4 linked regions of the Diceros bicornis minor genome follow. The protein of the gene in region 1 interacts with the protein of each later gene in a biochemical or structural test. Links are inferred from orthologs where the notes say so. Each region holds a gene or a part of one and is shown on either strand. Other genes may lie near its edges.

Region 1 (7,280 bases):
CAACTGCTCATAAATAATGAATAATCTTGCAGCAGCAGGGAAGCCAAGGAGACCAAGGCCACTTATCATGAATAATGCATAAGTCTCGGTGGGCTGGAAAAAAAGGGATAGGTCCACCTATTGCTGCATCTCATACCCTCTAAGCAGGGAAATAGGGCTACTACAGGGAAAATACTCCCCTGGCTCATGAATAATGAATAATACTGTTGCCGCAGCTCAACCTGGAAACTCAAAGAGGTTAAGCAAGGTCCCACCCAGTTAATATGAATTATGCACCAGGCTGGATGGACAGAAACACTCAAGGCAGCCCTGCCCAGCAAGTAGGGATTATGGTACTCCAGCCAAGGCAACATGGCCACGCCTTCCTGTTCATGAAAAATGAAAGACGATGCTGCAGAGCCACAGGGGAAACCCAGGGGAAGTGCAGCTGCCTCCTCCCCACCTCTGACTAACTGCACATGAACCAAGGCTGCCTTGGTCCAACCAAATCCAGACTCACTACATGCCTTTGGCAGGTGCCTCTGTTTCCACAACCGTAAAATGGGTATAGTAATTGAACTCATCCACCTTGTAAAGGCAAAATGTGTTATGAAAATCAGAGAATGTGAATTATGGAATGAGCTCAGAGCAGTGCTGGCACAAGGCACTGTTAAATTTTTTAAGTATTATATATTACTATAAAGGTAATATGTAAATATATATTTATATTAATATAAAATTAGTTATAGGTGCGGGTATACCCAGCCCCTAGAGAAACCCCCAACTTGGGGCATTATTTTAAAAGTAATGCCTTGAAACACCATCCCAGAAGGATACTGGAAAACAGAATGCTAAGGCCACCAATGGCCATTAAACAGGTAGGGTAGACTACCATGTCACCAGAGATACAACTGTATATCAAAGCCCAAGGCACACAGTAAGCGCCCAATACATTTCTGTCGAATAATAATAATAGATCACATTAATAGATCGCTAACACCACTATGTCGTGGCTCCTGTAGTGTGTCCTTTACATGCATTGTGCCACTGACCTCAGGAATGCAGAACAGGAAATGGGTTCCTTCTTTTCCTTCAGGTCTCAGCTCAAAGGTGATCTCCTTAGAGAGTTCTTAAACCCTCACAAAAATCATTTCCATCCACGGATGACTAGCTGTGTGACCTGGAGCCAGACATTTCACTTCTCTGGGCCACTGTTTCCCCACCCATAAATTGAGAACAATAGTAACTTACCTTGTGATGGAGTTTAAACGAGTAAATATGTAGAAAGGGCTTAGAACAGTGCCTGTTCTAATAGTGCTATATGACTAACTTTAGTAGTAGTACCATTAAATTGGGAGGAGGGGGCATTATGGCATTTGATTAAGACTACAGACTCTGGGGGCGGGCCCTGTGGTGTAGCGCTTAAATTCCGCGCATTCGGCTTCGGCGGCCTGGTTCTCGGGTTGGGATCACCAGCACGGACCTACACCACTCCTCAGCCACGCTGTGGCAGCGACTCATAAATAAAAAAACAGAGGAAGACTGGCACCGAGTTAGCTCAGGGCGAATCTTCCTCAGCAAAAATAAATTAAAAAATTAAAAAGACTACAGACTCTGGAACTAGACTGACTCACTGACTGTGAGTAACCTTAGGCAAATTATTTAGCCGCCTGGTGTCCCAGTTTCCTCATCTATAAAATGGGTAATAATAACCTACCTCCTAGGATTGTTGTGGGGATTAAATGGGCTAATAAAGTGCTAAATGAGTGAAAACTAATCTGATTATCATTATGCCCATACCCATTTTTAAGGCTCACAGAAGGATTTGCCAAAGATCACGCAGCTGGGAAGGATAAATGGGATTTGAATCTAGAGCCTTTGTTGATAATCTGGGATTACTGGGCCATAAGGAATGAACAATACACGAGGCCTCAATCCTTTGCTAGACGCAAGGCTTAAATCCTGGAACCCACAGGGGAAGACTAACAGCGGATCACGCAGATGAAGCTGTAAAAGCTACACCTCTCATGAATTACGCACAACACCCCTGGAAAAGCCACAGAAAGCTCGGGGCGCTACTCACCTTTACGATTAATCAGTGAGCTCTAGTTTGCCTGGCAGAATGCAGAACGCCCCTCAGCACACCCTTTCAGCATGCTGATCCGCCCCCTCGTGAATAATTCACAAGCCGACACTTCCAGCGGACCAGGTGCGAAAGAGGCAAAAATAGGCTTCCTCAACAGCCCCACCTCCTCATGAATAATGAATAAAGCCGCGGCCCAAGAAGGCCGGGTGGCACCCGGTCCCCTAGGGACGAGCCTAGCACATTGGGCTCCGGCGTCCCTTCCACAGCCTGGGCCGGCGGCTCCTCTCCCTAGAAACGTGTGGGCCCAGACGTGTCCAGTCTTCCCGCCCCAAGTACCCAAGCGCGGGGGGACCTCGTCACTGAACCTGAGGTCACAAAGGCCACAGATACCTCCACAATGCCACGTCGGTCCTGAACGTTCCCACTGTCACCAGGACCTTTCATGAAACAAGCGCTCTCAAAATTCCATCTTGGCTTCAGGAACCCCAAACTTCACCTCTCCCCTTGGGGAGCATCTCGAATCCTGCCCCATGGACAAAGTACTCACACACGGACCCTAAGGGTCTCTCCGAACATCCCCCTAAACCCTGTCTCCTAGGGGTATAAACTCTGCTTCCGAGGGGTATATAAACGCTGCCTCCGAGGTATCTCCTAAAACAGATTCCCAAATCCCACCCCAGAGACCCCAAACACCACTTCCTAAGGGTACCCTCAAAAATAGCCACCCCTAAATGCCACCCCAGGCCCAGAGCCTCCAAATATGGCCATTAGGGAATCCCCGAAATTGAGCCCCCTCCCTCAAATGCTGTCCAGGGGTTTGGGGGCACCGCGCTCCAGCTCACCCCCTGCGCCGGGCGGAAGCCTCGCCTTCCTGCTGGAGATGAGCCGAAGCCACGGGGCAACGGAAGAGAAAACCACCTCCGTCGTACAAGAAGCGCCAGAGTTTGCGCGGAGCTCGGAAGCGCGGGGCCTTGGAGGGCCCCGGTTTGGGATGTACCACAGATGCTAAGCTAGAGGGGAGCCCGCCCCTGCTCCCGCGCCGTCAGCGCCCATGTCAGACCCAGACACCCCTACAGGTTGTGGTACTTCCCAAACGCGCGAGGCATGCTGGGGGCGGTAGTCCTGTCTGACCAGTGCCTGGTGCACGTGGTGGGCATCAGCGCCCAGGGTATAGGAAAATGTAAACCTGGACTGTGGAATTCCAGGAGCTGAGCTCTGGAGGGATAGGAAAAGGGAGCGGAACATGGTGGGTACCTCCAGATGGAAAGGCACACCCATCCTACAGATGGCAAGGCTGAGGCTTAGAAGGCCAAAGGAGTTCATTTATTTGACATTTGTGGAGCTCAAGCTGTGGGACCGGTGCTAGGGATTCTTCCTTTCCCTCACGGAGCTGACATTCTAGCGAGAGAGACAGACCATAAATACAACAAATAACTAAAGATTGTAGTTTCACATATACATATGTATTATAATATATGTGACTCTATAATATAAATTATATAAAACAAAATGTACATATAAACACTACATAGTTTACATAACATGATAGCTAGTGTCAATATGTAAATAATTTACATCTGTATATAATAAATGTCTTATTAAATACACTGTGTATATTCTATATTCATATGTGAATATATGATTAAATATATACGTAAATATGTATTGTATATATGCGATAACTGTCAAACGCTATGGAGAAAAATAGAACAAGGTAAGGGGAAATCTGTGGGGACAGGTTGCATTTTTAGATAGTGTGGTCAAGGAAGGCCTCGCTGAGAAGGTGATGTTTGAGCAAAGGTGTTTAACACAAAATGCCTTTGTCACCTTATCCCAAATTCTGTATCTCATATCCTGTCAACAACCTCCAAAGCTGTTCATTTGAAAAAGATTTATTGAGTGTCTACTAAGTGCAGGGGACTGGGAGCATAGCAAAGAACATAGCAAGGAAACTATCCTTGCAGTACTCTAGAACACTCTTCCCTCAGGTCTTTTCCTTCTTCTGTATCCTTTGCCTCACCTCAGAGAGACCTCTCCTGATTCCCCATGTAAAGTAGTCAGCGAATGCCTCTCTGAGGAGGAGGCATGTGAAAAGTGAGGAAGCGAGCCACGCGTGGAGTGGGGAAAGCATTCCAGACAGAGGGAACATCAGGTGCAAAGCCTTGAGGTTGGAAGTTCTTGGCAGGTTTGAGGAAGAGCACAGAAGTCTGTGTAGTTGGAGAGGAGTGAGGAAGGGAGAGCACTGGGAGATGAGATCTGAGGCCATGTCAAGTAAGGCATTGTAAGCCAGGCTGAGACGTTTGGTTTTCATTCTAAGATCTGTGGGAAGCCGTAAAAGGATTTTAAGCAGGGGAGTCACATTATGTAAATTATATTATATATATATATTTTTTTGGCGGTGTAATCGCTTTTATTCGGATTTTTGAGAGCACTAGAAGGGCCGATTATTACCTATCTTTCCAAGTTAAGAGATCTAAGACTGTTTCCAAAAGACTTCAGATAAGAAACTCCCCCTCAAAAGACGAGGGTAATCTGAATCATCTTAAACCAGCAATAAAAAAGTAAAATATAAACTTTTATTTAGAATTAAAGCAAATACTTCAGTATCACAAACAGAACATTAAACTTCAAGAAATATATGCTAATTTGGAGTGAGCGTTTATTTGCACAATTACAACACGCAGACACACCCAGCAGAGGAGCAGGCCTCACACCCGACCCAGCGCAGCGCTGGTCACGCCACCCGCACAGTGTGGCACAGAGCGGCACAGCGCGACAGGGGGCACTGTGGTTGATCGAGCTCCGGGCGGTGAGGTGCGAGGACGCAGGTCTCCACTACTCCGCGCCGGAGGACTCTGTCGAAGGTGTAGGCCATGAAGCAAGCTTCGGGTCTCTTGGGGACAAGGGGATGCCCTGGCCTCACAATCTCAAAGCCCAGAAAGCTGAAGGTACGGAGCAAGGCGGCTCTGTCATCACGGCTCTTGTGGAAGCAAATGAAGACGCGGTCAGCGTGGGCTGCTCCTCGGCAAACTCGGGAAGAACCTCGAAGCTGTCCTCGCTGCCCTCGGGCAGCGCCCCGCCCCGGATCTCAACGTCGAGGGAGCCCCCTGCAGCACCACTCTCCAGCTGATGTGCTTGGCGGCCTTGAGCCTGGTCTGGACATTCAAGATTCTCGTCTTGTCGTTAGACGTTAGTTCCTCTGTTACATTCAGCCAATTATCAGAGTAAAATAAATTAGCTGAAAGATTGTGATCTCTCTGACTATTCCCTCGCCCACCTGGGATCTTCAGGGGTGGGTGAGGGACATCGGGAGCACCACCGAGGCCCCGGACCCAGCTTACTAGAGCGGGGAAGGGAGACCCTGGAACTCCCGCTGCTGCGGCCTCCGTGGCTGTGCAGGCTGAGGACATGGTGCGGCTGGTATGGACGGTGGTGCTGGGTTTATCCCCCTCCTTCTTAAATTATATTTTAGAATGAACAATCTGGCTGCTCTGTGTGGAGAGAGAACAAACTGTAAGGGGAAAGGTGGAAGCAGAAAAACCAGTGGAAAGGCCACTGCAAGAGTCCAGGAAATGATGAGAGGATCAGACCCAGGTGGTGAAAGTGGAAGTGGTGACGGGGGGTTTAGACTTTGGGTTGATTTTGAAGGTAAAGAAGCCAGGATTTGCCAAGAGATCAGATATGGGGCATGAAAAATAGAGAGTAGTCCTAGTTGACCCCCAGATTTTTAGCCTGAGCACCTGGAAGAATGGAGTTGTCATCCACTGACATGGGAAATACTTCAGGAGGAGCAGATGTGGGGCAAAATCGGGAATTTGGTTTTGGATGTATTACATTTGAGATGCCTGTTAGATGTCCAAGGTCTGGTATGTGTCAGTTGAGTAAACAGTTGGGGACTGGGTCTAAAATTCAGGAGGTGGAGGGAGGTCTGGGCTGGAGATACAGATTTGGGGACCATCAGAGGTGACAACTGAAGCCATAGGTGTGGCCAAGTTCTTCTCTGAAGAATTGGTTGCCTTCAAATGGATCATTGGGAGTAATTGAGGCCGGCTTTGGACTTTACTGAGTGAGAGGGAAGGGCATTCCAGTTGGAGGAAACAGCTTGAGCAAAAGCCTGTGGAGGTAGGGAAGCAGGAAAAGCGGAGGGAGGTGGACGGTGGGGGCAAGAGTTGTACCATTTTGCATTGCTTCCAGCCATGTATGAGAGTGCTTGCTGGTTCACAGCCTCAATGAGCAGATTGTCAAGACTTAGGTTGTTTGCCAATCCGGTGTAATTATAATTTGCGTTTCTCTTATTAGGAGTAAGCTTGGGCATCTCTTCATAGAGTTAAAGGTATTACAGTTCTTGCTTTCTGGGGATTTTCTGTTCGTGTCCTTTATCCATTATCTAATGGGTTGTTGTATTTCTTATGGATTTTTAGGAACTCTTTATATATTAGCCTTTTTTAAAAATGGAGTCTTGAGGATGAGAGTAATTTGAACAGCTGTGGTGTGTGTATTTATTCATGCTTGCAAGGTCTGCTACGCGCCAAACCCTATTCTAGGCATTGGTGACACAGTGGTGAGCAAGGCAGACAGACGTCCCTTCCCTCGTGGAGCTTTCATTCTAGTGAAGGAGACAAACAATATAGAAAAGTAAGAAAATATATAGTACGTTAGACGTTGAGAAGTGTTATGGAGAAAAGTAATGCAAGGAAGGGGTCACAAGGTGGTGGGGGAGGGTTTGGAATTTTAAACGGGGTAGCTGGGGCAGGCTTCATTAAGGAGGTGACATCTGAACACTCAAATGGCATGTCTCCTTCAGTCTGGAACAGTTCTTCAATCTTCCCTTGACCTTTATGACCTTGATGCTTTTGAAGAATATAAGCCTGGAATTTTGTAGACTGTCCCTCAGTTTGGCATTGTCTGATGTTTCTTCATGGTTAGCTTCAGGTTCTGCATCTTGGATATGCTGTCTCTTTGTTTCATCCTATCAGGGGGCTCATGATTTTAATATGGATAATTTTCACTTTGTTCCCTTCATTAGGATGGTGTCTGCCAGGTTTCTCCACATTAATGTTTTTCCTTTTCGAATTAACTAACATGCATTTCGTGGAGAGATACTTTGGATCTATGTAAATATCCTGTTCCTCATCAAAGTGTCACCACTAGTTTTAGCATCCATAGATTTTCTAACTCTATCACTGTTCCGTAGTTAGTTGACATTCTATTGTAA
Region 2 (7,782 bases), on another chromosome or scaffold:
GAATTTCCCTTCTATAGCCTCTGAATCCCCCCAGACCTCCCCATGACCTAATTACAGATACCTGGCCCACTGAACAGGGAGTGTCCAGGACCATACTCCAACTCTGAGCAGCTTCTGTTCTGCATGGTTGGTACCTGTGCCACACCTGTCGTTATATAAGTTTAGTGTCATCCCTGGGAAGGATCAAGGCAAGTGCTGCTCAACTCTTCTGGTTCCCAATCCAGAACTTTTCTCACAGCATCCTGCTCTTCAGGAAGACTGGAAAATAAACAAGAGAACAAAAAGAAAACAGTGCTATGAAATTATGTCTACATAAAAGATAGACAGGTTTTGAAAGGGCAAGAGATTGAGCCGGTATCCATTTTCACCTCTTCAGTAAAGGTCTTTCTATCTTGAGGTTTACACACCTCTGCCAGTGGATGAATTTCTGAGGGTTGGGTAACTCCCTGAAATACAAAATTCATGGGTGTGTAGATTTTTCTGTGGCGTGGGTCCATGACTTTCATTTGATTTTTAAAGGAGTCCATGGCCAAAAAAAAAAAAGGTATAACTTTCTAAGAACATGTTTGATAAGAGGTCTAGGGGAGAAGTAGACAAACAACGTGCTAGAGGATTACAGACCTGGGTAAAAGAATTCTTGCTAGAGACGGGCAGGGAAAGGGGAGAAAGTGAAAACAAAGTTCTCCAGATTCACAGTTTTTTTACAAACTAGATATGTACATGTATATAAATCGACTATTTTTGACATGTAGAGTAAGTCACCCAGAATAGGTCACACATACAAACCATTTGTTATTTTGTTCATTTTCTTTGTTCTTTATTAGGAGATTCACATGAAATGACTAGTTTGGGTCCAAAATTATAAAAAATAATACGCTTTTGCTTTGGCGATATGCTTTCTTTAAAAGTATCAACTCTAAATTGTGAATTTGGAGCTTTTCTACTTTGAAATCCCTTCTATAGCTCAATTGGATTATATTAGCATTTTTAAATTGTTAACTAAAGCCCCTTAGTATTTCTACATAAATTACAATGAAGCCAAGTTCATTCCTTATTATATTTATAAAAGTCATTTTTTAACTCAAAATAGTACATCATTCCCATTGCATTTTATCCTAGACTTTTTAACATGATATTTTAGACAAATCATTTTGAATTCTGATTCTCTCTAATGTGTGCATGGAATTTGAAATCTGCAAGAAAACTTGATGAGTATGCAGTCTGACTTGCTCATTTTATTGATAAGGAAATAAACCCAGAGAGATTAAGAGCCTTGACCAAGCTTGCTAATGACGGAGTCAGGACAAGATACAAGCCTCGGATTCCTAGCTTCACGCATTTTCTAACATCCAATAAACGAGCTGTTGGTTGTGGAACTACCTCCATTTCTCCGGTGAGATCAGCCAGTAGGAGACTAAGAACAAACCACTCTGCGGAGACACAGACTCAAGGAAGGACTTGTCAACTCTGCCTCTTCATCTCCAATAACATATTCTCATAGGACTGCTCCCGAGTCTCCAGTCTAGTGAAACACTACAACTCAAGCCTTCATAAATCACATTACTCCATCAATATTGCAGCACTTCCCCAGTGATCCCTTTGTGGGTCCTTCAAGTTACTAGAGTATTTGGGTTCCCAAATTTCCTCCTCTTTTCTGCCAGAAAGTCCAGCTGCTTTTAGTTCTCTGTGTACAGGCTGTCTTTACCTTGGAAAGGAAGACCTCAGGTACCTTTACAGCTTGTGTCTGTTCTGTTTTTTTTTTTTTTATTTCCAGGAGGTAGAGATGGGGTAGTTTGTGAGGTAAGGGAGAATCACCTCCTTGAACTTGATGGTCACTTTTTTGTGTGTGTGTGAGGAAGATCAGCCCTGAGCTAACATCCATGCTAATCCTCCTCTTTTTGCTGAGGAAGACCGGCCCTGAGCTAACATCTATTGCCAATCCTCCTCCATTTTTTTTTCTCTTTTTCTCCCCAAAGCCCCAGTAGATAGTCATATGTCATAGTTGCACATCCTTTTAGTTGCTGTATGTGGGACGCCGCCTCAGCATGGCTGGACAAGTGGTGCGCACCCAGATCCGAACCCAGGCCGCCAGTGGTGGAGCGCACACACTTAACCACGGGGCCAGCCCCTGATGGTCACTTCTAATTGCTGTGGAAATTAAAAAATGAGTATCATTATCAAATCTAACAAAAATAATAATAATTCCTTAATAGCATCTAACATCCATTTTATGTTTGAATTTCTCCAGTTATCTCAAAAATATCTTTTTTACAGTTAGTTTGTTTGCATCAGGATCCAAACAATGTTAACACATTGCATTTGTTTAATATACCTCTTAAGTATCTTTTATTGCAAATGATGCTATTAGAAAGATTCTTTAAGGTTATGTGAAACTTTAACTTTACTATTGCTAAACTGTTTTCCAGTGATTTACCTATTTCATTCCTATAATTTAAGAGAACTGCACTTCCTTTCCCACTTTTGGTATTGTCAGACATATTATTTTTTGCCTATTTGAGAATGAGCCCCACTCTGTAAAGAAATGAGATGTGAGCCTAGTCTTCAAATATTGTGTATAATCAAGTATTTTAGATATAAAAATTTCATGTTCCCTGGAGGTAATTATATGCCCCACCCAATCTGAAAGTCACTGTTTTAGCTCTGAGTACATCAGGATCTTTCTATTATAGTCCAATGAAAGAATGAAGAAGTTAGTGACGTAATTATGTACTATTTAATATTTCCTAGGAAGGATACGACTGGTGCTGACTTTTCCCTCCTACAAAGTTCCTTTTCAACACATACATAACCCAAGGGACCAGATGTTGATTTTACTGTGAGGAGCGTCAGAATTCCTGTAACCTCTTTTCTTCCTTATTAGTATCTGTCACGGCAGGTTGTCAGCTCTGATGATGTCATAATGCTTTGTTTGTGGGGTCATCTGATGTCACTTATACCTTAGGAAGAATCAGCTTTTAAACAAAGTGAACCTTGGATGGTAAAACCTGATCTTCTGGAGCAGTTTTCTGAGATCACAGGGATAAAGATCTCCAGAAGAAAATATATCCGGAAAAGCTTTCCTCTTTCATTGGGATATATGGGTTTTACTCACTGTTGAAATGTTGACAACACAACTGGGTTGACACCTGGTAATGCTTCTGGATGATTCCTGGTTGCCAAGAGCATCCAAACAGTCCTCAAGGACACAGTCCTTTTGCACAACAAAGGGAAAAACAGCCCATTTCTGGGAAAAGGGTGGAAGTCTGATAGGAAAAGTATACCATATAACTTTCTCTCTAATGATAAAGAACAGTGTGTTTAATAGTACATGATAGAATGATTGGTGTGTTTTAAAGATATTTTTCCTTTTCAGACACATTTTTACATTACATTAGGGAATTTCCCAGAGAACATAATGATCTATTTTAAGAGTGGGAAGGATGGGGATATCCTACATTGCTCTTATATTGAAATCTTTTTTTTTCCCCCCAAAGCCCCAGGAGATAGTTGTATGTCATAGCTGCACATCCTTTGCTGTATGTGGGAAGTGGTCTCAGCATGGCCGGAGAAGCGGTGCATCAGTGCGCGCCAGGGATCTGAACCCGGGCCACCAGCATTGGAGCGCGTGCACTTAACCACTAAGCCACGGGGCCAGCCCTCAAATCTTAACTTATAGAAATTTTTTAAAATGCCAAGCTAATAAAATGACAGATTTTAAGCTTTCATTCTGGTAAAGTAAAAGCCTTCTACTCAAGGCACCAGCCACTTTAATTTTTAAAGACAGAACACGAGGTGCAAGACTTTGGCTTCCATTTTCTTCTTATAAACCAATGACATCTTCAGTTCTGGAATAGCTTTTAAAGATGCGGCTTTTAAAGATGCCAACATTTATCAATGTTGGCAGATCTGGTGCATTCCCAGAATAAACCCTGTATCCTCAGCTTTCTCTACTCAAATACACCCCTAGGGTGAACCACCACAAAACTGCCCACCACGAAATGGCCTGAAGAGAAGTCTAGATGTGACAGAAGGTGTAAGTGTATATTATAACGTGACACTGGTACATTAAAAAAATTTTTTCACATCCAGGATCAAATCTCTAATCAAACACCAATGCCAGAATAACCATAACTACCACTGACACACGTTAAGTTTAAAACTGAGGAGCTGCGGTAAAGGGGCGGAAATCGCACACAAACGAAAGAAAAACTTCAAAATTTTCTCTTCCCTTTCAGGCAAGTTTCAGCTCTTCAAATCTACTCTCGCCTTTAAAATACCCAAGTGCTGTTGTGCTCTCAATTCTCATCCCGTTGTAGAAGGAAATCTGTGTTTCTCTTCCCCAAATTAGGAATATGAGAAGTCTTCCAGGTCCTCAAAACCTGAAAGCAGCCCCGCGGGAAGTTTTATCTGGCCCAAGGGTGTGAGAGGGGGCATGGTCGTGTGGAAAAGACATCTGAGGGGAAAAATCCGTAAACCACACACCTGTGGTCGGAAAAACAAAACAAAACAGAGAAAACCCCTCGGGCCCAGACATCATCAGGATGTCGGAGCAGAGACAGAAAAAAAAACAACGTCCGTGTTCAGGTCAGAACCGGAGCGGCGTCCCCTAAGCGGCCGGAGCAGCCGGCGGGCGAGCCCCCGACGCCCTAGAGCCGGCTGTGACCGAGGGTACAGACAGCGCCATTTACCGCGCCCCCACCCGCCCCTCCCCCCCGGGCGCCAGCCAATCCCCTAGCACCATCCCCTTCCCATCGCAGGCCCCGCCCCCGCGCCCGGGATGCTGGGCCCCCGCGGCGTGACGCAAGCACGGCGGCTCCGCCCCCTGCGTCTCTGGCCTCGCCGGCCTTGGGGGGATGGTTCCATCATGGCGTCAATGCAGGTGAGAGGAGTTTGCAGCATCTGGGCGGGCGAGGGAGCCGCCGAGAGGATGCGACCGTCTCGTCGGGGGCGGCGTCTGGGACCCTGGGGCACCCGGGCGGGTTCGGGAGCGGCCCTCGTGGCCCGTCCTGCCTCAGCCTCAGGGCGTTGGGGAGGGGTGAGAGGCGGCGAGAAGAAGGGCGGGGGTGGGGGGGTCGCGGTCGGTCGAAGCGGACACCCGCCGGCCGCGAAGTTGGGGGAGAAAGAGGGCGAAGGGGAGGAAAGGGCCAAGTTTGGCGTTGGCTGGGCGGCAGTGGTCTCGGAATCCCCTCCCGTTCACGCAGGCGGCCTCCCCGCCCGCCCCAGGGATGCCTTTTCCTCCGTGGTCCCCGGCCGGGCGGAAACAGCTGCTCTCGCCGTTGTCGCCGGGGCAGGGGCGGCCCTGAGAGGGGCTGAGTGTGGGGAGCTGAAAAGGCGTTCCCCGAGAAGGCGGCTGGCTGCAAAGGCGATTCGCGGCCTCCGCTCAGGCCTCCCACGCCCGGCCTCCGGACCGCTCGGCCCCTCGGCTCTCCTCCCTTTGACTCTTAATCCTTTGCCCCGTGGGTACCTTTCTGTATCACCTCCGCACCCTCCACGAACATTCGTCCCCCTTTCTCACTGTCCCCGAAGCTGCCCTTAGTCCATCGACATCATTGGCCGCCTAGTAGGCGATCTCCCCGAGAGCCGAGTCACCAGTCCCCTTAGACCTCCCGGGATAGCTCGCCCTCAAATTTTTTTCCCTGCTGTGCCCCACCCTTGCGGTCGCGGTAAGGCTGCAGCCCTTTGCCCTTCTTCCCCAGATCTTTAGGGGAACCTTAGTTTGGTAGGAAGCGTTTGTTAACTCGTGTTGTATCTGCCTGACTTGGCAACGCGTGGTTTTCTGGCTTTGCTACTTAATATACTCCTTTTTTCCAAATCCAACGAGTTTGGTTTTTTTCAGGCAAAGATGGCAACCACAGTTGCAGTTTTGTAGAGATTGACTCTGCATTATCTAGAGCTTGCATTTAATTTACAGATGAAGACTAGCTCTATCGAAACATATAGGAAGAGAAGGAAGAATTGTCGTTTGGAGTGGCAGCTGAGCGCCTTTTAGAGTTTTAACATTTGCTTAACAAGGAGACCACGTTTTTCTTAGAAGGATTTTGTGCTTTTGTTTCTAGAAGAATAAGCAAGTCTCCCTATCCACCCTCCTTGTTTTTTTCTTTCCTAGACGAGAACAGTGTTTTTCTTTCATCTCTTCTGTTTTCTGCATCTTCTTCCTCTTTTGTGCACGTTTGCTTCACATTGACTTCTGTACTTTTGTGTTATCCTCTTTCAACCTGTTTCTCATAGAATGTTCTTTTTACAGTTGCTTCTCCGTCTGGACTTCCTTGCAGAATAGGGAAAAAAAATTGTATATAACATTCCTAGTTGAAGAGATGTCATGAAACGATGCAGAGAAAAAACAATTTCAGAAACATTACACTTGACACTAGTCTCCACAGAGACGTTAGAGGAGTTTCGTCATTTGAGGCTAAAAAAGGAACTGTGGAACAGTAGTTGAACAGTAGATGGGCTATATGACCAGTTTAAGATTATTCGTGTTAAGGTTAAAATTATTTAAGACTAACAATTAATATTAAAATCCCCAACACTTGTGATTATATTTGACAAGAGAATTGTAGGGATAGCTAATTAGCTGGTTAGATTTAGACTTCAAGTGTCTGGAAAAGGCAGATTTTAATTTTTAAGAGAAAAAGCTGAGTTGGCACAGAACTTAATGTTGATAATCTTGAATTTTACATGGCGACTTAAGCAATGGAAAACAATACTTGCCAGTGCAATACTGCATTTTTCTGACTGTCTTATCACCCTTTTATTCCTTTGTCTTTTGATTAGAGGAATAGAAAACTGATGTTTCCTATTTTAATTAAAATAAAACTAAATCTTTTATTTGTATTTTTTAAATATCTGATAAAGATTTTCTGATAGTATCTAGAAAAATATATATATATATATTTTTTTTTTGTGAGGAGATCAGCCCTGAGCTAACATCCGCCAATCCTCCTCTTTTTTTGCTGAGGAAGACGGCCCTGGGCTAACATCGGTGCCTATCTTCCTCCACTTTATATGGGACGCCGCCACAGCATGGCTTACCAAGCAGTACTTCGGTGCGCGCCCGGGATCCGAACCAGCGAACCCCGGGCCGCCGCAGCGGAGCGCGTGCACCCAACCGCTTGCGCCACCGGGCCGGCCCCTAGAAAAATATTTTAATATAGATAAACTTTTTGAAACACAGCACTACTTTCTGTGATTATTCTGTGTCTGGTGAACAACATTTTTTCCTACTTAGTAGTAGAGTTTAACTCTTTTCAGAATGACTAAGTTACACATAAAACTGCAACCAAATTATGAAATTTGTTCATTCACTCATGAATTATTTTTTGAGGGCCTACTATGTATCAAGTACTCATCTAGGTGCTGGGGATATGGCAGTGAACAAAAGCAAGATTTCTGCCCTTGTGGATATAGTAGTCCAATTGGGGGAGACAGATAAGAACAAAATATTTGCTAGTTGCACATTATATTAAAAGGTGATAGTGATATGGAGAAAAAGTGTGGAAGGAGGTTGTGAAATGGATATTTTTGGGATTTCAGTAGAGCACTTAGGAAAAAGTACACTGTACATGAATGCTGCTCTGACCATGTCCTTGCCTAGAAAGTTTTCAGTAGATTTTTTTTTTTTATAATTTTTATTTATTTGTTTATTTTCCTCCAAAGCCCCAGTAGATAGTTGTATGTCATAGCTGCACATCCCTCCAGTTGCTGTATGTGGGACGCGGCCTCAGCATGGCTGGAGAAGCAGCGCGTCAGTGCGGGCCAGGGATCCGAACCCGAGCCCCCAGC
Region 3 (7,443 bases), about 69 Mb from region 1:
CAAAGTACTTTTGAGGCTGTTGATATATATAATACATTGGAAACAGCAAAATTAACTATGCCACTTATCCCTAAATCAGTGTTTTCCAGTAAATTCCCTAACTGTAAATAAGAGGTACTTTCAAATGGTCAAAAATATTATTTTTTAGCCACGGTGAGTGTTCTAGACACCTGAGGAAGCGTCTATGGATAGCAGACTGCTCAACTGTGAAGCAGAAAAGGGTACTCTCATTTAGCCTGAATAATTCCCTTTCAGTAATGCCAGGATGGAGATACACATCATCAGAAATAGAGCCAGTAATGTCAAGGGGGAAGGTGCAGGTAGATAACGGATTCCATAAGTACCTTTTCAATTCATACCACTTAAAACAACAGAAGCACTCTTGAAATATTTAGGTATCCAACCCCCAGCAACGTGATGTACTATTAATAAAGCTGTGCCCAGCATAAGGCAGTCTAAGAAAAATCAGGAGGAGAAAAAGAAGCCAATGAAAACAAAGCCTGCTAAAGCTAAAGCAAATACACAGTTAATCTGCACAGAAAGCTCAGGTATGAAGAACTAGCACCAATCTAGGCAGAGAAAATTAAGTCTAGCTAGCTCTTGCTATGGATCAGTTCAAATGATTTACTGCACCAAAGTGGTATGTCTTTAGAATCACTCTCTCCTGCTGTCATTTCTTTGTATGGCAGCACTGAAGAGTGGTGATATTTACTCAGGGGCTGAAGGTAGAGAGAAAGCTAAAAGTATTTAGGTGACTGTCTACAGTCTCCCAAGGAAATCTGAGTATTTGAGACAAATTGCAGAATTGGCTGATATTAACCTACCTCACAACATCTTGTGGACTGGTAGCATCAAAAAGCAATCCGACTCAGCAATGTACTTGGTAGTTTGCAGAAATGTTTTTGTTCCCTCCTTCAAACTGAGTTATGTGTGTGTGTGTGTGTGTGTGTGTGTGTGTGTGTGTGTGTGTGTATCAAGTATTATGTGACCAAAGGAAGACAAGTCATTGAGAAAAAAAATAACAGAAAGATCCTTTTCTTTTTTTAAATACTTCAGATATTAAAGATGTCAATCAGTAGTTCAAATACTTTTAATCATCTTTTAAATGTATTAAACTTTCAAAGCCAATTAACTATACACACACACACACACAAAACTGAATGCACATAGACTATATCAGTGTCAATTTCCTGGTTGTGATATTGTAGTACAGTCATTCAAGATGTTACCAAAGGAGGGGGGAGTGGGTGAAGGGTATACAGGGTTTCTCTGCATTATTATTATTATTTATTATAACTGCACATGAATCTATAATTACCTCAAAATAGAAAGTTTTTAAAAATCCTTAAAAAGCAATAAACATGTGTGTTTTTAAAAGTTAAATCTAAATTCATTAAAAATCACATACCGAGGTACATGTAGTAGCTTCAAGTAGGTTGGACACTGGTCAAGAGAGTACATTAAGGCTATCCTCAATTCTGAAGCTTCTTTGAGATTACTGACCGTAAAGTCTTGATAAACACACCCACCGAAAACTCATTTAAAAATAAGAAACAATATTATACTCAAACTGGGCAGTAAAGGTGCCATTAAAGACCATCTTAGAGCAGCGAGTCTGACAGGCATTCAATTCCACATTGCAGAAACCAGATAGTTATGCACAAGGGATTCTTGCATCCATTCCACATCCAACAAACACACATTAAGCACCTGCTGAACACAGTCCCTCCCCTTGTGGTAGAATTCTGAACCAGATGGTCTCTGGGGTCTCTAAGTCTATCAGCAAGTGGTTGGGTTGATACTAACTCAGTATCTCGATGGGGGGCTGAATTAAGCAGGATCACAGCTCAAACCCCCAAAACCCTTAACATCGGTGCTATGATGCGCCTTTTAAAACGTGACTGCCTTACCCAGATTTTTTTTAAAAAGAAGCAAGCAAGAAAAAGGGTGCAGTTCTAGTCAAGCGGACAATCGCCAGAACAACCTGCCATATATTGGATTCCACTCAAGCCTTTAGTAGGCTGAGGCTAGCGAGAAGCAGGTTCCTAAGTAGGAGGCACTTCCCGGATGACAAAACCGTTTCCCCAGCTGATAAGGCTCCCCAAAGGTGGGTAAAGAAACTCTCTTACCATCCTCAAACGGGGTCCCTTCAGGCCTGCAACAGAGAAAAAGAGTCAGTGCCCGCTTACGGGGCTCCCATCTCCCCGGTTCATCTTAGGAGATGGCTATTCCAAGCTCTGCCAACTCCACATATGGTAAACCACCCTCTCTCGGGTCGCAAAGCCACTACAAATAGGTGTTTCGGGCTCAGGCACACAGCACAGGCCGCCGCGCCTAACCGCCACCACTCCCCGCCCCGCCCCCCTAAGAACCCCAAACGGTTCCCCTGGCAGCGGGAACTGAGCTAATCGAGGCACAGGCTCCGGGGAGGCGCCTAGGCCCAGCCAGACCCAAACATCTTCCCTCTCCCCCTCCGCCTCCGCCCGGGGCTCGTCCCGGAGGGCATGCTGAGCCAGCCCGCGGCCCCCATCTCTCGCCACCGCCGGGAACGCAGACTCACCCGAAAATGACCGCGTTCCAAACCATGATGTTGTTCTCAGACGGAGCCCCGCTGACTCCAGCCGGAGGATCCTCCTGCAACCTTCAGAGACACACACAGGGGCCCCGCGATCCGGCACTCGCGGCCGCTCCGGGCCGCCCCCGCCCCACCCGGCCCGCCCCGGCCCCGCCCTGCGCCCCGGCCGGCAGCCCCCGGCCTCGGGGCCGTCCCTGTCAGTTTACCTCTTGAAGTCCCGCATGAGGCGCCGCCGAGCCGGGGTGGACATATCTCTAGCGGGGTCAGGGGTGGGGCATACACCGAGATCTCGGCTCCCCGCGGCGGCTAAGGAGGCCGAAGAGGATGAAGAAGCCGAAGAAGCCGACGAGGAAGCACCCAGAGGAACAGCACTGCCTCTCCGAAGTCGAGGGTCGGTCTGGCGCCGGCTAAGCACCACCCCGGAGTAGACGGGGGCTGAACCAACCTGGAAGGAAAGGGAGGGGGTGAACGCCGAACGCCGGACAGGCCGTACCAAGACGAGGCGGGGGGGGGGGGGAGGAGGAATGTTGCTGAGGTCATTAAACCCCAGCGGGAGGCGGGGAGCGCCGGGCGGTCGAGGGGTGAGACGCAAGCGGCGGGGCGAACGAGAAAGTCTGGAATTCACTAGGATTTAGTGGTGGAATGGGTCCATCTCCACCTGCCAATTCTAAGACGAACCCTTGGAAGCTTTTTCTGGTTTCTTTTCCTATCTTTTTTCTTTTCTTTCTTTCTTTTTTTTTTTGACACCAAATCACTTATTCAAGTGCCCACTGTGGATGGTGGGAGTGGGATGGAAGTCCCAAACTAGAGGAGGAGGGAGTGGGCGGAGGCAAAACCGGTTCTCAAAAAGCGGGAACTCGAGGGTGCACACGCCCTGCGGACACAGGAGACCAGGGAGGGGTGTGTGTGACTGATTAAAATCACTGAATGTCAAAAGAATAAATCGGCCTCCACTATGAAAGGGGGCTGTGAATCCCTTTTCCAGGGAATGAATATCAACATTTAGGCCTATGATAACCCCAAAGCAGAATAAAATGGTAGTGTGTGTCCTGGGGGAGAGAATGAGAGCTTAAGGCAAGCAGAAGGAGGTTTTAGCTCTGGGCACTCACAATTTGCCTCTGGAACCACATTTCCCCTTGGCGGTTCAACAAGCCAAGCGGCTACAATATGTTCAGAAGAGTCCAAGGGATGAGAATATCCAACTGCGGAGAACCGGAGGGGCAGTGAGTCTGAAGTAAAGGTAACGGTAAGATTCACGTGCAAAAGCTGCAGGTTGCAGGAAGAGTCACAGTTAGTATACGGACCTGCAAAAGCAATAATAGTTTTAAAGAATAATTTTTAAAGGTCAACCCAAAATAACTTAGAAGGTAGGCAATATACTCATTTAAGAATTTTTGAAAATATGAGAAAAGTAGCTTTGAGTTAAGTCATGGAGAGTTTTGAATGCTAAGGTAGTGGATTCCTTGGAAGGTGGTTGAGCAGAGAAGCGACATGATTAGAGCTGTGCTAATCAGAGATTGGTCCCAGGAGAGAAGCTAGGAAACTCTTGAAGTATTCTAGGTGAAAGATACTGAACCAAGCAGTGACAATAAAAGTAGAAAAGAGGGGATGAATGGAGAGGACTTGGAAACAGATTGAATGTGGGGGCGAGAGAGACGAAGGAATCAAGGAATCAACAATACTTGGAGTTTTAAGATAACTGGTTGTTTGAAGGTGCCATTAACAGAATTAGGGAGTAGAGGGGGAGGGACAATTTGGGGAGAGGAAATTTTGGGACTTACTAAGTTTATGGGACTGGCAAGACATCCTTGTGAAGATGTCTGGAAGACATCAGATGTGCAGAAATTTGTGTCTAACATGGAAGCAAGAGGCACTTGACGATGGCAGTAATTCTAGCTGCTGCTTAACAACAGGTACCTCCATGGCCAAGGATTTATATCTCTTATTAACTCCAACATATCTGTTAAGGCAGGTCTCCCTAATAGCATCACATTATGGCCATGGTGGGAAGGACATACAAAAATGAACAAGAAACCTCTTTTTCCTCTCATCTAGGAACTTGCAGTCACTAATACACACATATGAAATCAATAAACCCAAGATCTACCAAAGCAAGTGCGTTAGTTTTCTTTAGCTGCTTAACAAATTGCCACAAGTTGTTGGCCAAGTTCAGTTCCTTGCACTTGTAGGACTGGGGTCCCCATTTCCTCACTGGCTGCCAGCTGGGAGCCATTCTCATCTCCTAGAGGTCACCCACATTCCTTGCCACATGGCCTACTCCATCTTCAAAGCCAGCAACAGAAAATTTCTCTCCCATCAAATTCCTTTTATGCTTTGAATCTCTTTCTTTAGAAAGAGCCAGGTTCACTTTAAGGGCTTATGTGATTATGTCAGGCCCACTCCGATAATCTCCCTGTCTTAAAATCGTCTGATTTGGGACTTTAATTACATCTGCAAATTTCCCCCACAGTAGAACTTAGGTTAGTGTTTGATTGAGTAACAGGAAGGTGTGTATACATCAGTAGCCAGGAATCTTGAGGAAGAGGGTGGCATCTTAGAATTCTGCCTACCAGAGCAGCAGCAAGATATATAGCAGAAGCATGTGAAGCCACAAATGCTGAGGGACCGCATAGCATGAGGGAATCATCAGTCTGGTGGGGTTAGAACAAGCTTCCTGGAAGGGGGCTATTTCAGTTTTGTTTCCAAAGAGATGAAAGCAGGGCTTGGGGAGAACTCAAGCAGTTTCTATGAGGGCAACAGCACAAACAAGGACAGGGAGCTAAAGCATGTTCTGGGGACAGAGTGAGCAGATTAGCGTGGCTAGTGGAGAATCATGAGACCTCTGCTTAGAAAAGGGAGGGTGACAGAAGTGGATTAAATACCCTCAAGGGCAAGGATGAGGAATTTAGGCTTGACAGGCAGCTTTTATATGCCTTTGAGCCTGAGAGAAATGTATTGGAAACATCCTACTGAGGAGCAGCATCTACTGTACTGGGGAGTGCGAAAGAGACTGCGAAGCTCCTGCCACCGGATAGAAATGTCTGCAATTCATTGAAGGCCAGAAATGTAGATGAGTTTGTTATGGGCTTGAGTGTTTTCTGAAACTCCTTTGCCCTTCCTTCCTTGGACTACCTACTCAAGAAAACTCAGGAGCATGAACCCAAGCAGTCTGGAAGCCCCATGGCACCAGGGTATGGGGAGAGCATTCCCTGACTGCACAATGGAATTGCATTGCAGGAACACTGTGCCCCCTCATTCCTCACCAGAAGCAGGGTTGTCATAGCAAGAAGCGACACAGAAGATTGTTCTCCAGCACAGATGATTATCAGGCTAGAACGTACTAACTATAGCAGAGTTGGCCAAGCACTCCTTCCACCCCCTTCTCACCTTGCCATCTTGAAGAAATACCCTCTTCAAAGCCAAGCATCCCCACCCCCACCACCAAGAGCAGGGGTCAAGGAACTAGAAGTCTTTTTCAATTTAAATAAAAGTGTGCTGGCGATGCAGCTGCAGGGAAGATAAAAAATTCCAAATTGTCCACAGGCAAGGATTTGAGAGTTTTCCTAAAAGGAAGGACTGTGAAATGTGGGACTATACGACTAGGGAAACCATGGGATTTCATTCATGAAGATTTCAAAATGCAGAATAGATTATGATTTTCCGGAACTATTTTGGATTGGAAGGAGAGACTGAATAAACTATCCTTTCCTGCCTTATGAGGCTGTGAGTTTGTATTTCTGTTGAAGGCAAAGGAATTTTATTTTCCTATAATTTCCACTTCTATTGATAAAATTTAATACAAACATCGACTAAGAAATAACAGAAAATAAAATCAAAAGGTTTTGCTTGACTCCAATAATCTCAGAAGACAAGTGAAGACAATCACTTATAGGAAACAACAGTTGTCACAGTGCATGCTTTTGGCAATAAAAGTAGTAGTATGCTGTCCATCTATAGCCCCTACAACATAAGGAGAGAAATGGGGGTGGAGAGAGAGAGAGAGAGATGAAAAAGAAGAAGGAGGAGGTGGATGAGGAGGAGGAAGAGAGAGGAGGGGAAAATAGTGAAGTTCAGAGAAACGGGGAAATGAGGTCCACAAACATAGGATTTCAGTACTGGCTGAATTGCTGAATCAAGGGAAACCAAAGCATGGCATGGCAGGCTGAATAATGCTCCCACCCCGCTTCTCTGCCCGCAAGATCTCCATGTCCTAATCTCTGGAACCTGTGAATATGTTACTTTATATGGCAGAAGGAACTTTGCAGATGTGGTTAAATTAAGAATCTTGAAATGGGGAGATTATCCAGGATTGAATGGGTAGGCCTGATGTCCTTTATAAGAGGGAAGGAGGAGTCCAAGTTCAGAGAGAAGGCCTTGTGATGATGGAAGCAGAGATTGGAATGATACAGTCACCAGCCAAGGAGCCAGGGGATGCTGGCAGTCTCAGAAGCTAAAAGAGGCAAAGAATGGATTCTCCCATGGAGACTCTAGGAGTAACCAGCCCTACTGACATCTGGACTTTAGACCAGTGAGATTGATTTTGGACTTCTGATCTCCAGAACTGAAAGGTAATAAATTTGTATTTTCTTAAGCCACTAAATTTATGGTAGTTTGTTACAGCAGCAATAGGAAACTAATACACATGGCTACAGTGTTACACATGGAAATTCAATCAAAGCAGCCACATCCACCAGCAAACTACAACCAAATCCAGCCTGCCATCCTTTTTCCTATGGCCTGCAAGCTAAGAATGGTTTTCTATATTTTTAAATAGTTGAAATACTCAAAAGAAGAATAATATTTAATAATATTTCATGACACATGGAGATGATATGAAATTCAAATTTCAGTGTCTATGAATAAAGTTT
Region 4 (7,593 bases), on another chromosome or scaffold:
CTGTAACAGGTAAACTGTATGATACGTGAATTTTATCTCAATAAGGATGATACAAAAACCTGGAAACAACCTAAATGTTTACCAGCAGGTGAATGGATAAATAAATGGTGGCATGGCTATAAAATGGAACACTAAAAAGGAATGAACTATTGATATACACTAAAAAGGAATGAACCATTGATATACACAACAATATAGATGAATCTCAGAATAATCATGCTGAGTGAAAACAGCCAGACAAAAAGCGTATATACTATTTGGTTCCCTTTACATAAAACTGAAAAAACATAAACTAGTCTACAGTAATATAAAGTAGATTAGTGGTTGCTTGCAGATGGGGGAGTGAGGGAAGGGGTGGGAAGAAGGGATTACTAAGGGACATGAGGAAACTTCAGAGATGTTGGATATGTTCACTGTCTTGATTGTGGTAATGGTTTCACAAGTGCATATTAAAGTCAAAACCTATCAAATTGTACACCTTACATATATGCAGCTTACTATACATCAGCTATATTTTAGCAAAGCTGATTAAAAAAATTATCACTGGGGCCGGCCCAGTGGCAGCCCAGGGTTCCCAGGTTTGGATCCCAGGCGTGCACCAGCGCACCGCTTGTCAAGCCATGCTGTGGCAGTGTCCCATATCAAGTAGAGGAAGATGGGCACAGAAGTTAAACCAGGGCCAATCTTCCTCAGCAAAAAAGAGGAGGATTGGCATCGGACGTTAGCTCAGGGCTGAGGTTCCTAACACAAAAAAATAAATAAATAAAAATAAATAAAAACAAAAAAATTATCATTGAGTGAAAAGCTAATCACCAATGCTACAGAGATGGAAATATGAAGCGAAAAGTTAAAGAAAAGGAGGGTTCTTAATCAGAAAATAAAAGTTTAGGATATATGAAAGATTGAAACACTGAATTTCTCTAATGCTTAAGTCTGAGAGTAAAACCACATATACTTTAATGTAAATATAGAAAAAACTGATGTGTGACATTACTACATCGGGTACTCCCATCAGTACACAAGTTATTCATCCATATAGTAAATGCTTTTTGAGAGATAAACTTTAATAAAAATGGTAGCATTTATTTTAATAACCATACAAATGACTTCAAATCTTGCATTTATAGCATCATTAAGGATCTGAATCACTTACATATCCAAATTATATTTTACAGTATTTTATGAGGGAAAATAAATGCTGTAGTAAATCTGAAAATCCAAATAGATCTCAAGATAGACCCCTATTATATGTCGAAGGTCCATGATACTATATATTTAATTAATAACTTGTCTCTTCTTCCAATAGACCGAAAGCTCTTTGAGGGTAAATTTCCTATTTTTTTCTTCTGTGCCTGGCTTAATAAATATTTTCAAATAAATGGTGAGAGATCAAGTGGGGATGTTATGAAAACAGGTCAACTTCGCAAGCAAAGCCTTACATGGACACACAGTCTTGATATAGTCTCCGCATGTCAGGGTCTGGTTCTTCACTTTATAGTCTAAAAACTCAAGTCAGCAGTAAACCTAAATTCGACAGTGCTTAGATATACTAACTCATGTCAAGCTCACTCACAAAGACTTAAATATTAATTAAAAGGCAAATTCATTAATTTGCAAAACTACAGTAAAAATTTTAATTCTATATATTCTCTCCCTAAGTTATTTCTACTCGGGAAACGTAATCAGGAGAAACTAAGTTTGCCTACTGATCGGGTCAAGACACTCTCCTGAATCACGTTGGAAAGACCAAAAGGTCCTTTGGTTCTCCTTTTTCCAATCTCCAGGCATGCTGCTCCTCCACAATAACACAGTCTCTCAGAAATATTTAAGCAGAATTAACACTATACGTGAGCTAATATGTTAAATACAATCAATTATACTGCAACCGTCTTTCATATAAATCATTCTTTAAACTACTGTCAAACTTCCTTAGCCACACCTTTAAGACCATCATTTCTTGGAGCAAGTTATTCACTACTTAACCTCATCTTGTATACACAAATCCTTACCACTTTTTCTTAGGAAGCAAATACAGAGAATCAAGGACAATAAAACAAGCATCCACAAGTAATAAGGTCTACCTTTATATAAAACAGTGGAAGCGTATGGTAAAGGGAATAGCACAGGGTGAGAACAAGCAGGACAATTTCTCTAAAGGAGGCAGCCAGACCCGTCTCACTATATTCACACAAAGAGGTCTACGGCGCTCCTCAGCCCCAAAGTCATCAATTACTGCCTGTTCTGTCGGTATACAGGTTCTGTACCGCCTAGCTCAAATCCACTAGGGACTCCGCACAAAATAGTCTTCAGCCACACGGACCTCTTCCTGGCGCCTGTGAACGTCCCCTCCTCTCCCACACCAGCAGGACAGACCTCCCCTCCTCGCCCACACGTAAGGGACGAACGTCCCCCCTGACCCCGCACCCGCCGGCCCCCCGACCCCCGTCTCCCCCGCACCCGCCGGCCAGCCCACCTCCGTCTCCCCCGCACCCGCGGGACCGCCGGCCCGCCCACCTCCGTCTCTCCCGCACCCGCCGGCCCGTCGGCCCCCACCCCCGTCGCCCCCCTCCGCCCGCATCCGCGGGACGAACGTCCTCGTTCTGTAAGCTCTGTGTTTAAACTCACGCGCCCCCGCGCGCAGCCCTGCGGTAACTGAAGACAGTTTGAACCACAGCGAGCGAGACACGGGTCGGGGAACAGACGGCGCAGGAAGCTCGCGCACGCACACGCACCAAGCAGGTACACGCACGCAGCCCCGCGCGAGCGCCCGCGCTGTCCTCTCCTGGGAGGAGCTCCAGCTGGGGCAGGAGGGCGGCTCCGGGGCGCTGGCCTCTACGACTGGACGTGCTGTCCGAGCCTCCGCTCCACAGCCGCCTTCTTGGGCTCCCTTCCGGAAGGAGGACACCTCCTCGTCAGGCAGAACTGGGGCTCCCTCTCCCGACACAGCGACCTCCACCGGGAAGCCCCTTCCTCACCTGCGCGCTCCCCTCACAACGCAGAAGCGCGTGAACCGGCATCCACCGCGCCTGCGCGAGCCAGGGCGGTCGGGTCGCCCCGCCTCCCGCCTGCGAGACTGCGACTGGCCCGCAGCGGGGCCGGGGAGGAGCTCAGCCTCCTATTGGCCAGCGCTCTGAGCCGGCCTCCGCTCACGCCGCTTTCAAATTGGAGCGCGCGCTGGCGCCGTCCGCCCTGCGCACGTTGCCGCACAGAGACACCTCCCGGTGCTGCCCGGCTGCACCGCTTTGGGTGGCCAGTACTGCTCCACGTTTCGGTTACGCGGTCGGCTGTGCTTGTCAGAGCAGAGAAGGAGCTGGAAATCACCTCAAAGAAGGAATAGTGAAATGAAACGGAAATACTTGATCTGAGGAAGGGCGTACGTGGTACTTATCTTCGTTTAAGTATTTTTCATCTGGAAGATTTTACTGCTTCAGAGGACACGTCTAAGACCAAGGGGTGAATATTAAAGCGATACAAAATTTAGCTCAATAAAGCATTCTAGCGATTACAAATCTGAAGAACAGAACAGGTAAACCTGGGAGATAGTGAAGTCTTTCCTCACTGGGAGTTGGTTAGGGATGGCGCAGAAGGGATGCTTGCATTGGGTGGCGTTTGGAAGAGATGACTTTTAAGCCTTTTCTAACTCTAAAAGTGTGGTCCTACCTGACCAAGAAAGTACCTGGTCATAGCTGAGCCAGCCTTGACTTCTCGAAGGTTCCTCTGCCAGAGGCGAATGCTGCATGACCTGACTTGAATCTAGAGGACATGGCAGGAACTTGACTAGCCTTCACTAACTTTGAATGCTGTGGGTGGAAAAAACCACAGCAAGCCCTCATCTCACTGCTTTCGGCTCATTGTGTGGCTTTGGAACAGCGCTGGCATAGGAGTAATGGCCAGTTTTCCTAAACGTGCTAACCAGTATAATTTTAACTACTGCAGTGATTTCTGCATTTAGTCCAAATTGGTGTTGAGTAGCAACTGGTTTCCCGTGACCACTGCAAGGTGTGTTCTCTCCTCCAGAGACCCACACATGCACCAGGACTCTGTCCATGATTCTACCCTGGGGATCCTCACATTGGTAGTAGGAATGAACCAACTCAAGTAGCTTATGAATTACAAGCGTAAGGAATCCTGTTACTGTCCAGCCCAGTTTCCAGTTAGCTGTTGAGGTTTTGATTTATGGTCAGCATTTACTCATTGTAGTGAAGTGTTTCCTGTCATAATTCTGGAGTTGGCTGCTTATTTCACTGCTGATACTTTCTGATTTAATCCCTTCAATGTCTTCTTTTATTTTCTTCCTATCTCAGTTGTGTCTCAATTACAGTTCTGTCTTCAGAACTGAAATTGATTACTTTCTTGGGTGGATCTCTGAGAAGAGTCTTAGAAATGTGTCTTAGAAAAAGCAGGAACTGTATTGAGTCTGGTGGAAATGAGAGATGGCCTGTAAAACAAGCAAATACCTGTAGTTTTGACAACCAAAATGAAAGGATTAGATAAAAGAAAAAATAAAAAGTACTTTATGGGCTAAATATACAGTTTCCATTTGTCCACCAGAGGGAGGTATATTAACTGGTGGAAATAGAGGCCAGGCCGAACGCTTTCCATAAACTGTGTACAGGTGTCATTGCTTTTAAAAATGGAGTATTCTAATATTGTAATTTATTTTTTTAAGAGCATGTGTGGAGAATTGTTATTTAATAAAAGTTCTTCAGTTTATACCAAAATTTATATGCATCATAGCCAGCTCACTTAGTACATTTAAAAGAACAAAAATTGTGTCTTATTTATGCACAGGATTATTTGTCAGGATTTACTCACTTGGATACAAAATACATTTTCTTTAGAGTATTTGTTTAGGAAATCTAAACTATCATGTTTGTTTAATAAGTTGATTGTATAAGTTTATTCTCAGAGAGCCCTGATTGGGGGAAGATGTGTCAGGAAAAACTTACGTGATTTTAATTTTGAAAAACTTCAAGCCATTATATGTAGATTAATTTTGTTGTATTTTTTTGGCATAAATTTTTTTTGTCTAAGCTGGTTAAATTAATTAGATTATAATAATTAATTACTGCTTTCTGTAATCACAGAGCTGAAAGATATATTTCTCTTCTTCCAGGTAGGCATGCACTTAAATTATCCAAGGATCTTAACTACTTATATTTTACTTTAAAATCTACAAAGAGGGTATTACACTCTTAACTACCTCAGGAAAAAAAGCAACTAAAATAAATTTAGTAAGGAAGTTCTTCCTGAAACTGAATTTCTTCCTGTTGAAATTTAAGTTCACACCTCTTGGGAAAGTAAGGATTTAACTTGGACTTAGTCAATTTTAGCTTATTTATACTCCTGGAACCAGATAGTTCTTCCTTCCTGATTCTGAATGCAAAAAGAATACAGCCAAAAGAAATGTAACATTGTTGATTCCTGAAAATTTTACTCCAGTTTAAAAATCCTTATTAGAAAACCAGTATGTCAGTAAAATATACAGTTGAATGATACATACTTTTTTTGAGCAGCTGTTGTGTACCAGGAGCACAATATTAAAATGGTGCACATGGCTTGCTGTCTGTCAGAGATGTGCTTCCTGAGATTTCAGCAATATGCTTTATTCTGAAACCTTGCCCCCTCTCACTTTTTGGCTTCCTTGCCAGATTGGCAGAGTTAAGCTTATAATGTCTCTTGAAGAGAGTTAGGCTTCTAGCTGGGTATTGTTTCCTATTTGATTTAATATCAATGTTTCTTTTATCCTGTAGGGAGAGTTCTGTTTTAGAGTTTGTGGGCAATTTGCATTATCAGCAAGAGGCTGGGTTGGAATAAGAAGGGGTTCCATGTCAACAAGTTCTAAAGTAAAACGCATACAGAATTTTTAATTGCAATAAATGATGAGGCATGATAAGTTCTTGGTGACTCTAAATTAGTGGACGTCACAAGGAAAACAAGGCTATATAAAGTATACATTATTACACCTTGATTATTTTTATGCACATTGTTATTCACAGTTCATAAAGATGCTGTAAGACTTAATTAGTATTTATAAAGTATTTAAGAATACCTAATTAAGCATATTGTGGATAGGCACAATATTATTAAACATAATATTTTGCATTTATATGTCGCTTTTCATTTGGTTCTCAGTTCATCTCGGGAAATTGAAGCACAGGCAAATGTTCACATGATAGAATATAATAAAGTTTCTCTTTACAGTGACCTAATCATTTTTGCAATATTTTTTAATGAAAAATGTCAAACATGCAGAAAAATTTAAAGAACCTAATAATTGTACATGTTCTCTTTCATTATAGATAACACAATTATATTTTGTCCAGGGCTAAGGCCCTTGGGCGTATAGTTATTAAATCGATCTGACAGGTTTTATAACCAAGTTCATGGTGCATATGAAAATGTCCTACTTGCTGCCTTAGGAGTTTAGGATGCTGCGTGGTATCTTTTTGTAGCTTTGGGGAAAAAAAAATCATGGATGGCAAGACATCCATTCTGTCTCCTAAGAATTGAAGATCCATGGAAAGGGTAGAGGAGGAGGAGGGAGGATGAAAGGAAATTAATATTTATTGTGAGCTGATATATGCTGGGATAGTACTAGGTATCTTCGCGTATACAGTGTTATCTTATTTGATCCACACGACTACCCTGTGAGGTATTATTATTCCCATTTTATAAATAAGGAAACAGGTTCGGAGAAGTCAAGTCACTTGTCTAGGGATGTGAATTCAATTTGAATTCAAAGTTTATGCTCTTTCCACTATACCTGGACGCATCCTTTGCAGGATGTTTTCGGGGCCTTGACTATAAGTGTCACGTTGAACGAATTTATGTAGTATATGTAACACTGTGTGTGTGTGCATGCTCCTCCTCATCACGCACATTTACGTTTACTTTAACAATACACGTTAATAGATTACATGTGATGATGTGAATAAAACTGTAGATTTAAAACCAGGACATGGATTTGAGTCTTTCAGGTACTTTATGAAAATAGGGATAATTACTGCTCCTTTTCCACTTCAAAGGACCGATGTGACCATTAGGGAGCCAAGATGAGTGGGTGTCAACAAGAATAAACGACGACTCCTAACCGTCCAGGGAGGCTGGCCCTGGTCCGGGAGACTGGCCGGCTCGCCCCCGCCCCGCTGCATCCCGGGACTCGTAGTCCCGAAGGCCGCGGAGGCTCTCACTACGAGTCCCGTGAGGTCCCATGCGCGGCCGCGCATGCGTGTGAACGCCGAAGCGCGCGGGCGGGGCCGCGCGGGAGAAGTAAAGATGGCGGCGCTTGCGTTTCCGGCTTCTGCTCCCGGCTGAGGCTCTCCGAGGGACAACACGGCGACTGGAGCCGCCCCCGCGGCGTGGGGCGGGAGGGCGGCGGCGGGCCGGAGCCATGGCGGAGCTGGAGCACCTGGGCGGGAAGCGGGCCGAGTCGGCGCGGGCGCGGCGGGCCGAGCAGCTGCGGCGCTGGCGGGGCTCGCCCACGGAGCAGGAGCCCGCCGAGCCCCGGGGCGCCGGGCGGCGGCCGGCCTCGCGGCGCGGGAGCCCGCGGGTGCGTTTCGAGGACGGGGCCGTGTTCCTGGCCGCGTGCTC

The links.
Region 2: of the proteins of UBA1 (region 1) and UBE2W, one has a biochemical effect on the other in vitro, tested with the Homo sapiens proteins (5 studies listed by BioGRID, with this or other methods). The link is inferred for Diceros bicornis minor from reciprocal best matches to the Homo sapiens genes UBA1 and UBE2W.
Region 3: of the proteins of UBA1 (region 1) and UBE2A, one has a biochemical effect on the other in vitro, tested with the Homo sapiens proteins (6 studies listed by BioGRID, with this or other methods). The link is inferred for Diceros bicornis minor from reciprocal best matches to the Homo sapiens genes UBA1 and UBE2A.
Region 4: of the proteins of UBA1 (region 1) and UBE2T, one has a biochemical effect on the other in vitro, tested with the Homo sapiens proteins (4 studies listed by BioGRID, with this or other methods). The link is inferred for Diceros bicornis minor from reciprocal best matches to the Homo sapiens genes UBA1 and UBE2T.

The regions. Positions count from the first base shown.
Region 1 is NC_080781.1:40,992,817-41,000,096, reverse strand, and holds the start of UBA1 (ubiquitin-like modifier-activating enzyme 1), read right to left. Parts: upstream 3,006-7,280; 5' UTR 2,908-3,005; intron 1-2,907. UniProt on the Homo sapiens protein: Catalyzes the first step in ubiquitin conjugation to mark cellular proteins for degradation through the ubiquitin-proteasome system.
Region 2 is NC_080772.1:25,347,107-25,354,888, reverse strand, and holds the start of UBE2W (ubiquitin-conjugating enzyme E2 W), read left to right. Parts: upstream 1-4,777; coding exon 4,778-4,879; intron 4,880-7,782. UniProt on the Homo sapiens protein: Accepts ubiquitin from the E1 complex and catalyzes its covalent attachment to other proteins.
Region 3 is NC_080781.1:110,107,083-110,114,525, reverse strand, and holds the start of UBE2A (ubiquitin-conjugating enzyme E2 A), read right to left. Parts: upstream 3,003-7,443; 5' UTR 2,826-3,002; coding exon 2,782-2,825; intron 2,642-2,781; coding exon 2,561-2,641; intron 2,156-2,560; coding exon 2,130-2,155; intron 1-2,129. UniProt on the Homo sapiens protein: E2 ubiquitin-conjugating enzyme that accepts ubiquitin from the ubiquitin-activating enzyme E1 and transfers it to a E3 ubiquitin-protein ligase. In vitro catalyzes 'Lys-11', as well as 'Lys-48'-linked polyubiquitination.
Region 4 is NC_080777.1:30,430,006-30,437,598, forward strand, and holds the start of UBE2T (ubiquitin-conjugating enzyme E2 T), read right to left. Parts: upstream 3,017-7,593; 5' UTR 2,976-3,016; intron 2,966-2,975; exon of another isoform or gene 2,733-2,965; intron 1-2,732. Other genes in the region: PPP1R12B (protein phosphatase 1 regulatory subunit 12B), read left to right, coding at 7,394-7,593. UniProt on the Homo sapiens protein: Accepts ubiquitin from the E1 complex and catalyzes its covalent attachment to other proteins. Catalyzes monoubiquitination. Involved in mitomycin-C (MMC)-induced DNA repair.